Linked DNA regions of Tribolium castaneum. The protein of the gene in region 2 binds, or shares a complex with, the protein of the main gene of each other region. Links are inferred from orthologs where the notes say so. Each region holds a gene or a part of one and is shown on either strand. Other genes may lie near its edges.

The links. The genes of interacting proteins can lie anywhere in the genome.
Region 1: Polr2E (region 2) and Pdrg1 share a complex: the UniProt entries of both Homo sapiens proteins name them as parts of the PAQosome complex. The link is inferred for Tribolium castaneum from reciprocal best matches to the Homo sapiens genes POLR2E and PDRG1.
Region 3: Polr2E (region 2) and TfIIA-L share a complex: the UniProt entries of both Homo sapiens proteins name them as parts of the TBP-based Pol II pre-initiation complex. The link is inferred for Tribolium castaneum from reciprocal best matches to the Homo sapiens genes POLR2E and GTF2A1.

Annotation. Positions count from the first base shown.
Region 1 is NC_087396.1:22,907,693-22,910,201, reverse strand, and holds Pdrg1 (p53 and DNA damage-regulated protein 1), read right to left. Parts: upstream 1,229-2,509; coding exon 940-1,228; intron 892-939; coding exon 725-891; 3' UTR 661-724; downstream 1-660. Other genes in the region: Datp (bis(5'-nucleosyl)-tetraphosphatase [asymmetrical]), read right to left, coding at 107-423, 468-573; Prosbeta5 (proteasome subunit beta type-5), read left to right, coding at 1,302-1,436, 1,483-1,875, 1,923-2,234; Pgi (glucose-6-phosphate isomerase), read left to right, coding at 2,401-2,509. UniProt on the Homo sapiens protein: May play a role in chaperone-mediated protein folding.
Region 2 is NC_087396.1:14,244,047-14,247,361, reverse strand, and holds Polr2E (DNA-directed RNA polymerases I, II, and III subunit RPABC1), read right to left. Parts: upstream 2,017-3,315; 5' UTR 1,907-2,016; coding exon 1,850-1,906; intron 1,800-1,849; coding exon 1,369-1,799; intron 1,314-1,368; coding exon 1,235-1,313; intron 743-1,234; coding exon 677-742; 3' UTR 561-676; downstream 1-560. Other genes in the region: RpL12 (large ribosomal subunit protein uL11), read right to left, coding at 2,858-3,063, 3,261-3,315. UniProt on the Homo sapiens protein: DNA-dependent RNA polymerase catalyzes the transcription of DNA into RNA using the four ribonucleoside triphosphates as substrates.
Region 3 is NC_087395.1:25,200,869-25,204,391, forward strand, and holds TfIIA-L (transcription initiation factor IIA subunit 1), read right to left. Parts: upstream 2,315-3,523; 5' UTR 2,106-2,314; coding exon 1,618-2,105; intron 1,376-1,617; coding exon 925-1,375; 3' UTR 661-924; downstream 1-660. UniProt on the Homo sapiens protein: TFIIA is a component of the transcription machinery of RNA polymerase II and plays an important role in transcriptional activation. TFIIA in a complex with TBP mediates transcriptional activity.

The sequences.
Region 1 (2,509 bases), about 8.7 Mb from region 2:
CGCCATCTGCCAGATGACTCATCGGCGCAAATACATGGAAGTGGCTAAGGTTGCACATTGAATAATTAATTTTATTATTTTTTTATTTAATAATATATAACAATAATTAGTTTTTGTTGGAACGTATATAATTATCGAAAAACTGGAGCGACTCTTGGAGGTCGGCGTATTTTGCATAAGTGCAAGCGTCGTCGAGTTTCAACCACTTGAAGTCTTGGTGCTCCTCTGATAATTTCACCTCAGCCTTGGGGTTTGTGAGTTCGGCAAGCCAGTAAATAACTTTCTTGGGTTTCCCCTTTACGTTGTAATTTAAAATTTTCTTCACATCGTCGAAGATTTTCAAATCTTCCTGCTTCAAACCGGACTCTTCCATCGTTTCCCGAAGGGCAGTCACCATCTCAGTCTCACCAGGGTCCACATGCCCTGACAAAACATTATTATTTTTGAAAGGAAAAACTGAAGGTTACCTTTAGGAGGGGTCCAGTGGTGTTCGCCATACGAAGTTTGCAATAAAAGATACAAAATATTATCGCAGGCCTTTTTATAAATCACAAAGCCGGCCGCAACTTTCATTTGAAATTTTACGTAAATCGAATTAAAAATTAAAAGGTGAGGTTAGATTCAACCGGTTAAACTGTCAGAAGTGTCAAACAATAAATTTGAGAAACGTTTGTATTTACAATTATTTAATTGTGGACTTGGGACTGACAAAATCTTAATTAATTTACACTGCACCGAACGCTTTATGTAACGCTTTAGCCTCTGCCGAGGAAATGGGTTTCAAGGTGAAGCCCTCTAACCTTGGTTCATGTTCCAAATCCCTTAATTTATGGATTTTGCTCTTAATATTTTTATCCAACTCTAAAATATCCTTATCAGCGTTTGCAATTTCTAAAAAACTTTGGTCAGAATATTGTAAAAAAAATATTTTTTGCGGACCTGTTTTTAAAATCTCCTTACATTCACTAGTCGGTCGTTCAATAAAAACTGAACCGAGCTGCATCCAAGCCCTTCGGTCCTCTGTGCCCTCCAGGGCCCTCAGGGCTTCCCTAAACTTATTCCTGGAATTGGACAAATCCAACTTTGTTTCTTTTTCAGTTAAAATGTCTTGCGCTAGAGTTTCCACCTCGTATAAGTATTGAAACGATTTCTGGTTTTGCACGTCTTGGAATTGGGACATTTTCTCACAACAAGACGTAACTTTACACACCATAACCACCACCATCATCCATTTGACATTAGAGGTTAGGTGCTAGTTGTGTTTTCGCACCGTCATTTGAACCAAACAAAACTGCCCCAAAATGGCTTTAGCCGAGATTTGCGGAATGTCGGACTTCGACACCTTCAGACGCGAAGCCCCCTTCGACAACGAAATCGCCAAAATGAGCAACAACTTCACCCACAACACTTTGCTCAGCGTACCCCCCTATTCTAACGTAAGTAGCCCCTTGAAAATACCCCCAGATAACAAATTTGTGACAGCCGGCCGAGAACCTGGCCTACTTCTCGAAGGACGAGTCAGGTCGGGACATCAAAATCAAGTTTGACCACGGCACCACCACGCTGGGGTTCATGTACAAGGGGGGCGTAGTGCTCGCCGTGGACTCCCGAGCCACGGGGGGCCAATTCATCGGCTCCCAAACCATGAAGAAAATCGTCGAAATCAATGATTTTCTCCTGGGGACTTTGGCCGGGGGCGCCGCTGACTGTGTGTATTGGGACCGCGTCCTGGCTAAGCAGTGCCGCATGTACGAATTACGCAACCGGGAGCGGATTTCGGTCGCAGCCGCCTCGAAACTGATGGCCAACATGGTGTATAATTACAAGGGGATGGGGCTGTCAATGGGCATGATGCTGGCAGGATGGGACAAAAGGGTATTTATTTGAACAAGTTAGACCGCTTGATCAGTGTTGTTGTTCAGGGGCCCCAGCTGTATTACGTGGATTCGGAGGGGACCAGAACCCCTGGGAAAGTCTTCAGTGTTGGCTCGGGCTCCATTTATGCGTTTGGCGTCCTGGATTCGGGGTACAAGTGGGATTTGACGGATGAGGAGGCGTATGATTTGGGGCGCCGGTCGATTTACCATGCCACCCATCGGGACGCCTATTCTGGTGGTATCGTCAGGGTGTACCATATGAAGCCGACCGGCTGGGTGCATATTGATAACAACGACTGTATGGACTTGCACTACAAATACCAGGACGAGAAGTTGCAGGAAATAAATAAGGTTTAGCTTTGTAATGAATTAAATTGAATAAATTTTTTTAACATAGTTGGCGTTTGTTTTTCCCTGTCATTCCTGTCATTGTCACTATGACGCATCCAAATTCAAGTTTAATTAATAATTTGCGGTAAGTGGATTGATTAATTAAAATTAGTTGTGAGAAATCAATAATTAGATGAGAGTTTCTCGTCTGAAGTATGTAATTTGTATTTATCACACCGTGCGCTGCGCGTGCCCAATCGGCGACGATGAAAAACACAAAACGATCGCCAAACAATCGAAAG
Region 2 (3,315 bases):
TTTATTATAACCAAAAGAATACAAAAAAATAATTTAAACATGTTATTGTTGTACAGTGTAATAGAGTTAATTTGAAAAGGTGGCAACCGCAGTTATTTCAAAAAGGAAAAATAATCGCCTAAAATGTTCGTCCCACGCCGTAAATGAAATGAAACGTTAAATTTCGGTTTCTATCTACATAGTTTTCCACGTCGCTGGTCGCATCATCGGCGTCGGTAGTCAAACAGCACTGTCGCAGCGACTAAGTTCGCTCCGCTGTCGCCGAGGTTCGGTGGCCAATGGTGAAAATCGCGTAATTGCGTCCGCCCGCATTGATTGGCGATACTTGCATGAGAATGACATCGGAAAACAGACAGACAGAGGCAGGCAAGCCGGGAGCCAAGATCAATATTCGGCGGTGGCTGACAAGTCCTCGGCCGCCCGTATACACACCGAATTATGCAAACCATCTTTAATAGTTAATCAATGAATACAATCACCCCGACGCCAACCTACAGCCCTTTCAATTATTTACAGCCACTACCGGAAAGCGATATCCAATAAGGGCAGCAGAAAAGCACTTTTTAATCATTTCAAATACAAAATTTATTGATCATCAAGCACATATTCAAATACATAAAAAGAGTACAGCTCGCCTCCCTCCGACGACAATGTGACGGTTTAAATTTAAATTAGTTCAGCAGACAAGCCTGTAGGAAATGTAACGTCCGGCGGTTTCCGATGGCCGAATGATTTTAACCACCTGCAACAAAGCAAGAACACAACGTAATTTATTTGCATTATAACCCGCATGTTTCACAGGGAAACACACCTCGGAAACAACCATAAAAAAATGTTATACGCCGGTTATTACTTTTAACCGGTACTTTAGCCACCATTCACGCCGTAAAAAGCGCCCAACGACACCAACATTATTTCCCTTAATAAATTAGCATTATTGAACCGAATTTACCATCAGGTGACAGTGGAAATTCCTTTCATTATTCAATTTCATACATCGCTGAAATAAAACCGGCAACATGGTGAAACAACCTTTTCCTTTATTATTTTTTTTGTTTGATTCACAATTGAATTCTGAATTTTATTTTTAAATGATAAATCATGACCGCCTAATAATATTACAAAAATACTGTATCCAGCGCAGTGTTCCAAACCGCTAACAAAAATCCGTTACCAACTTAAACAGTCTTTCTGAATCACTTCGTACATAATCAAATTAAAAGTGCATTATTACCTGTCCGCGCTTCAGGCCGAAGTATCGCGCCACGGGGTCGCCGGCCTGTATCCTCATCAGCATATTTTCCTTCAATTTGCTGCAAGAGAAAATTAAAATTTTAATACCCACAAAAACCCTAATTAAATACACACTATCTAGTAAGCAATTCCTGCTTTTCCTCTGGTGTCATCACTACATGTTCGGGGACCAGTTCGTGTTCGGTGATATTAATCAGTAATTCGGACTCTAAAAACTGTTCCAATATGTATTTGGGGGCCATGTCCACCAGTGATTGTTTGGCTGATGGTGTCATGCCTTGTTGGACCACAATAATGGCCCTATGAATATTCTCGTCTTGCATCCTCTGACAATACGTTTTAATTGCTTTTATGCCAATTTTGGGCTCGTCGGGAAAGAAAACAAACATTTGGTCGGTGGGATCATCATTGTGAGCCACCAGAATTGTTAAATCGTTACGAGACGGCCGTTTTTCGCTAGGTTTGTCGCCGCATTGCTCTTTGAACTGTTCCAAGGTCTGGTCCAACTCGTCTTGGGTTACTAAATAGCCCCGGTCGTGGCATAACTGGGAAAAATTGCTTAGGTTGAGTGGGAATGTGAGGTTAGGGCGGGTACCTGCATGACTGTCTTACGAATTCGCCACAGTTTATAGGTCTCAGCTTCATCATCCATTTTTTTTAAGTTAGACTAAGTCACAATATTAATTAATTACCGAAAAATAACTATTTTACAACGTTTTCAATGTTTATTGTGGTGCACCATAACTATTGACTTTTGTTAGTCATAATCGGATTTCCGCGAATTGCTACTAACGAAAAACCAAATATGTAAACTACAGTAATATTTTATTCCAACTTTACATAGAAGATAGTTAAACAAAAAAACTCAAACATAAATATCACAAACATAAATAAAAAGCTATCGTTTAAAAAGCTTCGCCCTTACCGAAATTACGTTACGCGTTTTACGTTAATGGCGCCACGTTTGAATCAAAATTAGTTTGTCGATCACAAACTCGCAAGATGTCATCGAATTGCCAGATAATGGACCTTCTCCAAGGCAAGCAACTAGTGAATAAAATAAAAAAGCTAATCCCTGCAGAAGAAGCAATGAAGAATAAGACGATTATAATATTTTTCTTTGGAGCTATGTGGTGTAAATCAGCAGATTGCAAAGTAATCCTTCAGAGATTGAAGGAGCTTCACAAGGTAGGTACGTAAAAAGCCCCCGACGTCTGCTTCACTTGTAAACTTTTACTTAAACAGGAAAATCTTCGCAGAAATATGGGCATTGAGGTGATTTATGTTTCATCTGACACAACTCTTGATGACTTTGACGCGTTTTATAAAACACAAGGTGGATGGTTTGCTGTTCCCTACCAAGACGATTTGGCTGAGTATAAAAAAATTACTCCTTTATGGAACAGTTTTAACAATTTTTTGCAGACAACTTCGTAGAATTTTCGGGATTACAACTATCCCGAACTTAATCGTAGTTAAGAAAAACGGCGAAATTATAACTAAAGCGGGGAGACAGGAAATCGTTGAAAAGGGTTTAAATGTGCTAGTGACTTGGACAGATTAATAATAAAAAAATGTATCAGAAAAGTTTATTTTATAAAATTTACTCTTCAGGTATTTCTACAGAGCCATCATTCACTTCGTCAATAACGTCATGTGGGAGCTTCCCATCTATGGTGCAACCTACAGACTGGGCAGTACCTAAAACTTCCTTAACTGTTCCAGACAGATTTTTAGCCATTGATCTTGGCCTCATTTGTCTAGCAATGCTGATAACATCGTCCAAAGTAATGTTGCCACTGTGCTTAACTACAAAAACACGAAACGTTAGATAATGTCCAAAAAAATAAAAATTATTCTGTACGCCCCCTTGAGTAACATACTTAGTAATTCGTAAGCATGGGTTGCAATTAAGGGCAAGCTGATTTAGCACCTTGTTAATATCAACAAACCAAAATCAATTTGTTGTTCTTAACAGATGCACTCACAAAAATAAAACCACTTACTGTTCTTTTGCTTCTTCCTGTCTCTTGGTGGCTCTTTCAAGGCTTTAATAATCAA
Region 3 (3,523 bases), on a different chromosome or scaffold from region 2:
ATTCCCAATAGTTTTTTAGTTATGAATTTTTTAAAATTTTACCAATTTTTGCATTTAGCAGCAAATTGCTCGAAAACTATTAGTCGGAGAACAATAATCTTTTTTGAAAAAGATAGATAATTTAAAGAGCTTTCCAACGATAATACACTTCATGGGGTTATCTCTAATAGTTCCGGAGCTATTGCTCGAGAAATGTTCCGGGTACCCAAAACCGACAAAAACTGCGACGAAAATTGAAAAAATCAAACATCAAAAAATCGAACATTTGGACTTTTTGTGGACTTTTAACAACTTTTGTGAGTTGTTAAGACATGTAGAAGTCCATAAAAATTTGCTGGAGTTAGTTTAAAAAAAATTTTTTTTCACCTCTTTGAAGGTAAGTAAGTGTATAACTCAGGAAATTTGAGCAAAAAAATTGAAAATTTTAAATTGCGTGAAAAATTAGTATAATAGAGAAAAAAAGGCGCTGAATCCAATGGAACGAACCGCACTGCTCTACGACTTTTAGTTTTCGAATTATGAATTTTTTTGTTGAATATAATTTTCCATTATAGGCATTGCTCTACGATTTTTAGTTTTTGAGTTATGATTTTTTTTCAAAAGAGCTGCTAATTTGCGATTTTTGTCATCTTCCAGGTGTTAGAAAAACGACCAATGGTGTAACTTCAAAAATAGTTTTATTCACAAACGGCTATCGATAATTGATAATACATAGTAAAAATTTCGATTAAATCTAAACGCCTATTATTAGTTACATTTATAATGGATAACACAATTCTACAACTCAGGCTATTCTCCCATTTTACATACAAAAGTTCAATAACTTAAGTCGGAACCCAACGTTCCCTTGAATAAGTGACGGGTTTTGCGTGCAAGTGACTTGAAAATAATAAAAAAAAAACAAAACTTCTTAAAAAACACTAATTACCATTCCGCATCACCGTTAGCCTTTTGGAAGACATAATCTTGTCCACTCAAGTTCATTATCCCATCTTTCAAATAAAATTTCCACTTATTCCTATTTCTTATGATTTTATCGTACTGACAAACAACGATGTTATCAGTATCGAACAAATCAGTTGGGTCGTCATCAGTCACATCGTCTTCGGAGTTCAGGGGCTCTTCTTCACCACCTTCTTCCTCCATTTCTTGATCCTCTTCGTCCTTATCGTCATCGATATCCTCGTCGTCGTTATCGTCGTCAGACCCGTCCTCATCGTCGTCGGACGTGTCCACGGGGCCGTCCACCTGGGGCACCTTCTTCCTAGGCAAAATAAACTCGATTTCGATTTGTTCCTCCTCCTCCTCCTCGGCGTGGCTTCCGTCCGTCTGGGCGATGTTTCGGTTGACAATGGTCACGATCTGCTGCTGCTGGCTGTTAAAAACACGTTATCTCATAACAAAAAACTACAATTATTACAAGCTTTTTTATTTATTCCGAAGAGAACATTATTAAAAATCCGATAAAATTTTAAACAATAATTAGAAAATTTTTAAAACAATTATTGACAAAAATATCTGCATAAGTGTGCACAAAACATGTATTTTTCTTTGTACAGGGTGACCCGAAAACATTTTGCGTGGACGATTTAAGTTAAAAGGGGGCTAACTGACTACCTGTTAAACACCGCGTTGACGTGCTGCTGGAGCACCGAAGACGCAATATTGGCGGGCAAATTCATCATCCCCGTGATGATCTGCCCCGTGAGCACCTTCTGGAGCTGGTTCCCCTGGAGCGCCGTGGCGGGGACCTGTATCGTGAGTATCCTGGGGCCCTGGTCGCTGCCGGGCTGCGCCGGGAGCGTGATCTGGATGGGGACCATCTTCGTCTCGGCGATCTGCCCCACGGGGGCTGCCGCCGGCTGCGCCACATGCTGCTTGGGGAAGCCGTTGGTGGCGGTCATCTCCGCCTTCTTCGCCTTCTCCTCCTCGCTCTGCACCGCCTTGCTGGCCTTGAGCTTGGTCTCCCAGGTCTGCTTCAGCTCCTGGAGGACCTGCTCGTCGACGCCGTCCTCCAGGAAGATCTCGCGGACGCCGCTGATCACGTCGTCGATCACCTCCTGGTAGATGCGGAGCACCGAAGTCTTGCACAGGGAGTTCGACATGGCCTTGGGGGCGCACCACACTACGTTAAGCTGATTATGAACGGTTTCCGAGAGTGGAAACGGGCGATAATGGCATTTTTACGCGCACATATGCACTTTTGAGGTTAGGGAAATCAGATGGCCGACATTTTGATGGAAAATGAAGGCGAGAGATGAGGAAAATTTTGGGGTAACGGCAGGACGCGATCGGGGATAGTGCGCAAGCGCCGGAATGAAGAGTTTTTATCAATTCTTATCACAAAAAATTACTACCACGACAAAAAAGTCGTATGGTGATTAGTGAGTCGTGGGGTTTTTATGGGTACAAAAAAGAGATTTAAGCAATAAGAAAATAGTAAAAAAGTGGTGTATTGTGGGTTGACTAAAGCACAAAATGGCTGCCCGAATTATTTTACCGCGAAATACAAAAATTAAGTTAATTTACGATATAGCAGAATTTAGCAAAAAAAATCAAAATTTTTAATCTCGTAAAAAAAGCTGGTATAACAAAGAAAATGAAACAAACCGCATTGCCCAACGACTTTTACTTTTTGGGTTATGATTTTTTTTAGTGTAAAACTTTAATTGCCTCTGTAACCGGAACCGTTGCCCGGAGCAGCTCCGGGTTTGGACGAAAAAATAGATAATTTTAAGCGCCATCCGTTTTTTTAGTTTGATTCTCTAAGTCTTAGAGTTTCCGAGAAAAACGCAAATAAAGTTTCCATCTTCGCTTTTTTTCCATTTTCAACTGCCGATTACGGCGAAATTATTAGAGTTATCTAAAAACGGAAGAATTGTAGAAAAGCGCAATAAAAACTCTACAAAATGGCATAGGACTCAAAGCGATATCTCGCAAAAAGTTTTATAATTTTCAATCGCCGATTACGGCCAAACTAAAAGAGCTAGGAAAAAACTCTTTTTTCCATCGTAAAGAGCACATCAAAATCTATAAGAAAGGATAAGTGTTATTTGATTCTGAGACACTTTTAAAAATGGCCATTTTGGAGGGGAGGGAGGTCTTAATTTATTTTTAATTTTTATTATATTCTCAATTACGACTAAACTATTCGAAAAAGGGGAACTGTTTTGATCTTTACCTATGCAAAATGATCCAGGGAATCGATTGGCGTCGAGAAAATTGCCAAATTCCCACTAGTTTTTTGGTTACGAATTTTTTAAAATTTTACCAATTTTTGCATTTATCTGCAATTTTCTCGAAAACTATTAGTCGGAGAGCAAAGATCTTTTTTGAAAAAGATAGACAATTAAAAGAGCTTTCCAACGATAATACACTTCATGGGGTTATCTCTAATAGTTCCGGAGCTATTGCTCGAGAAATGTTCCGGGTACCCAAAACCGACAAAAACTGCGACGAAAATTGAAAAAATCAAATATTAAAAAATCGAACATAAGGATTTTTTTTGAACTTTTAACAACCC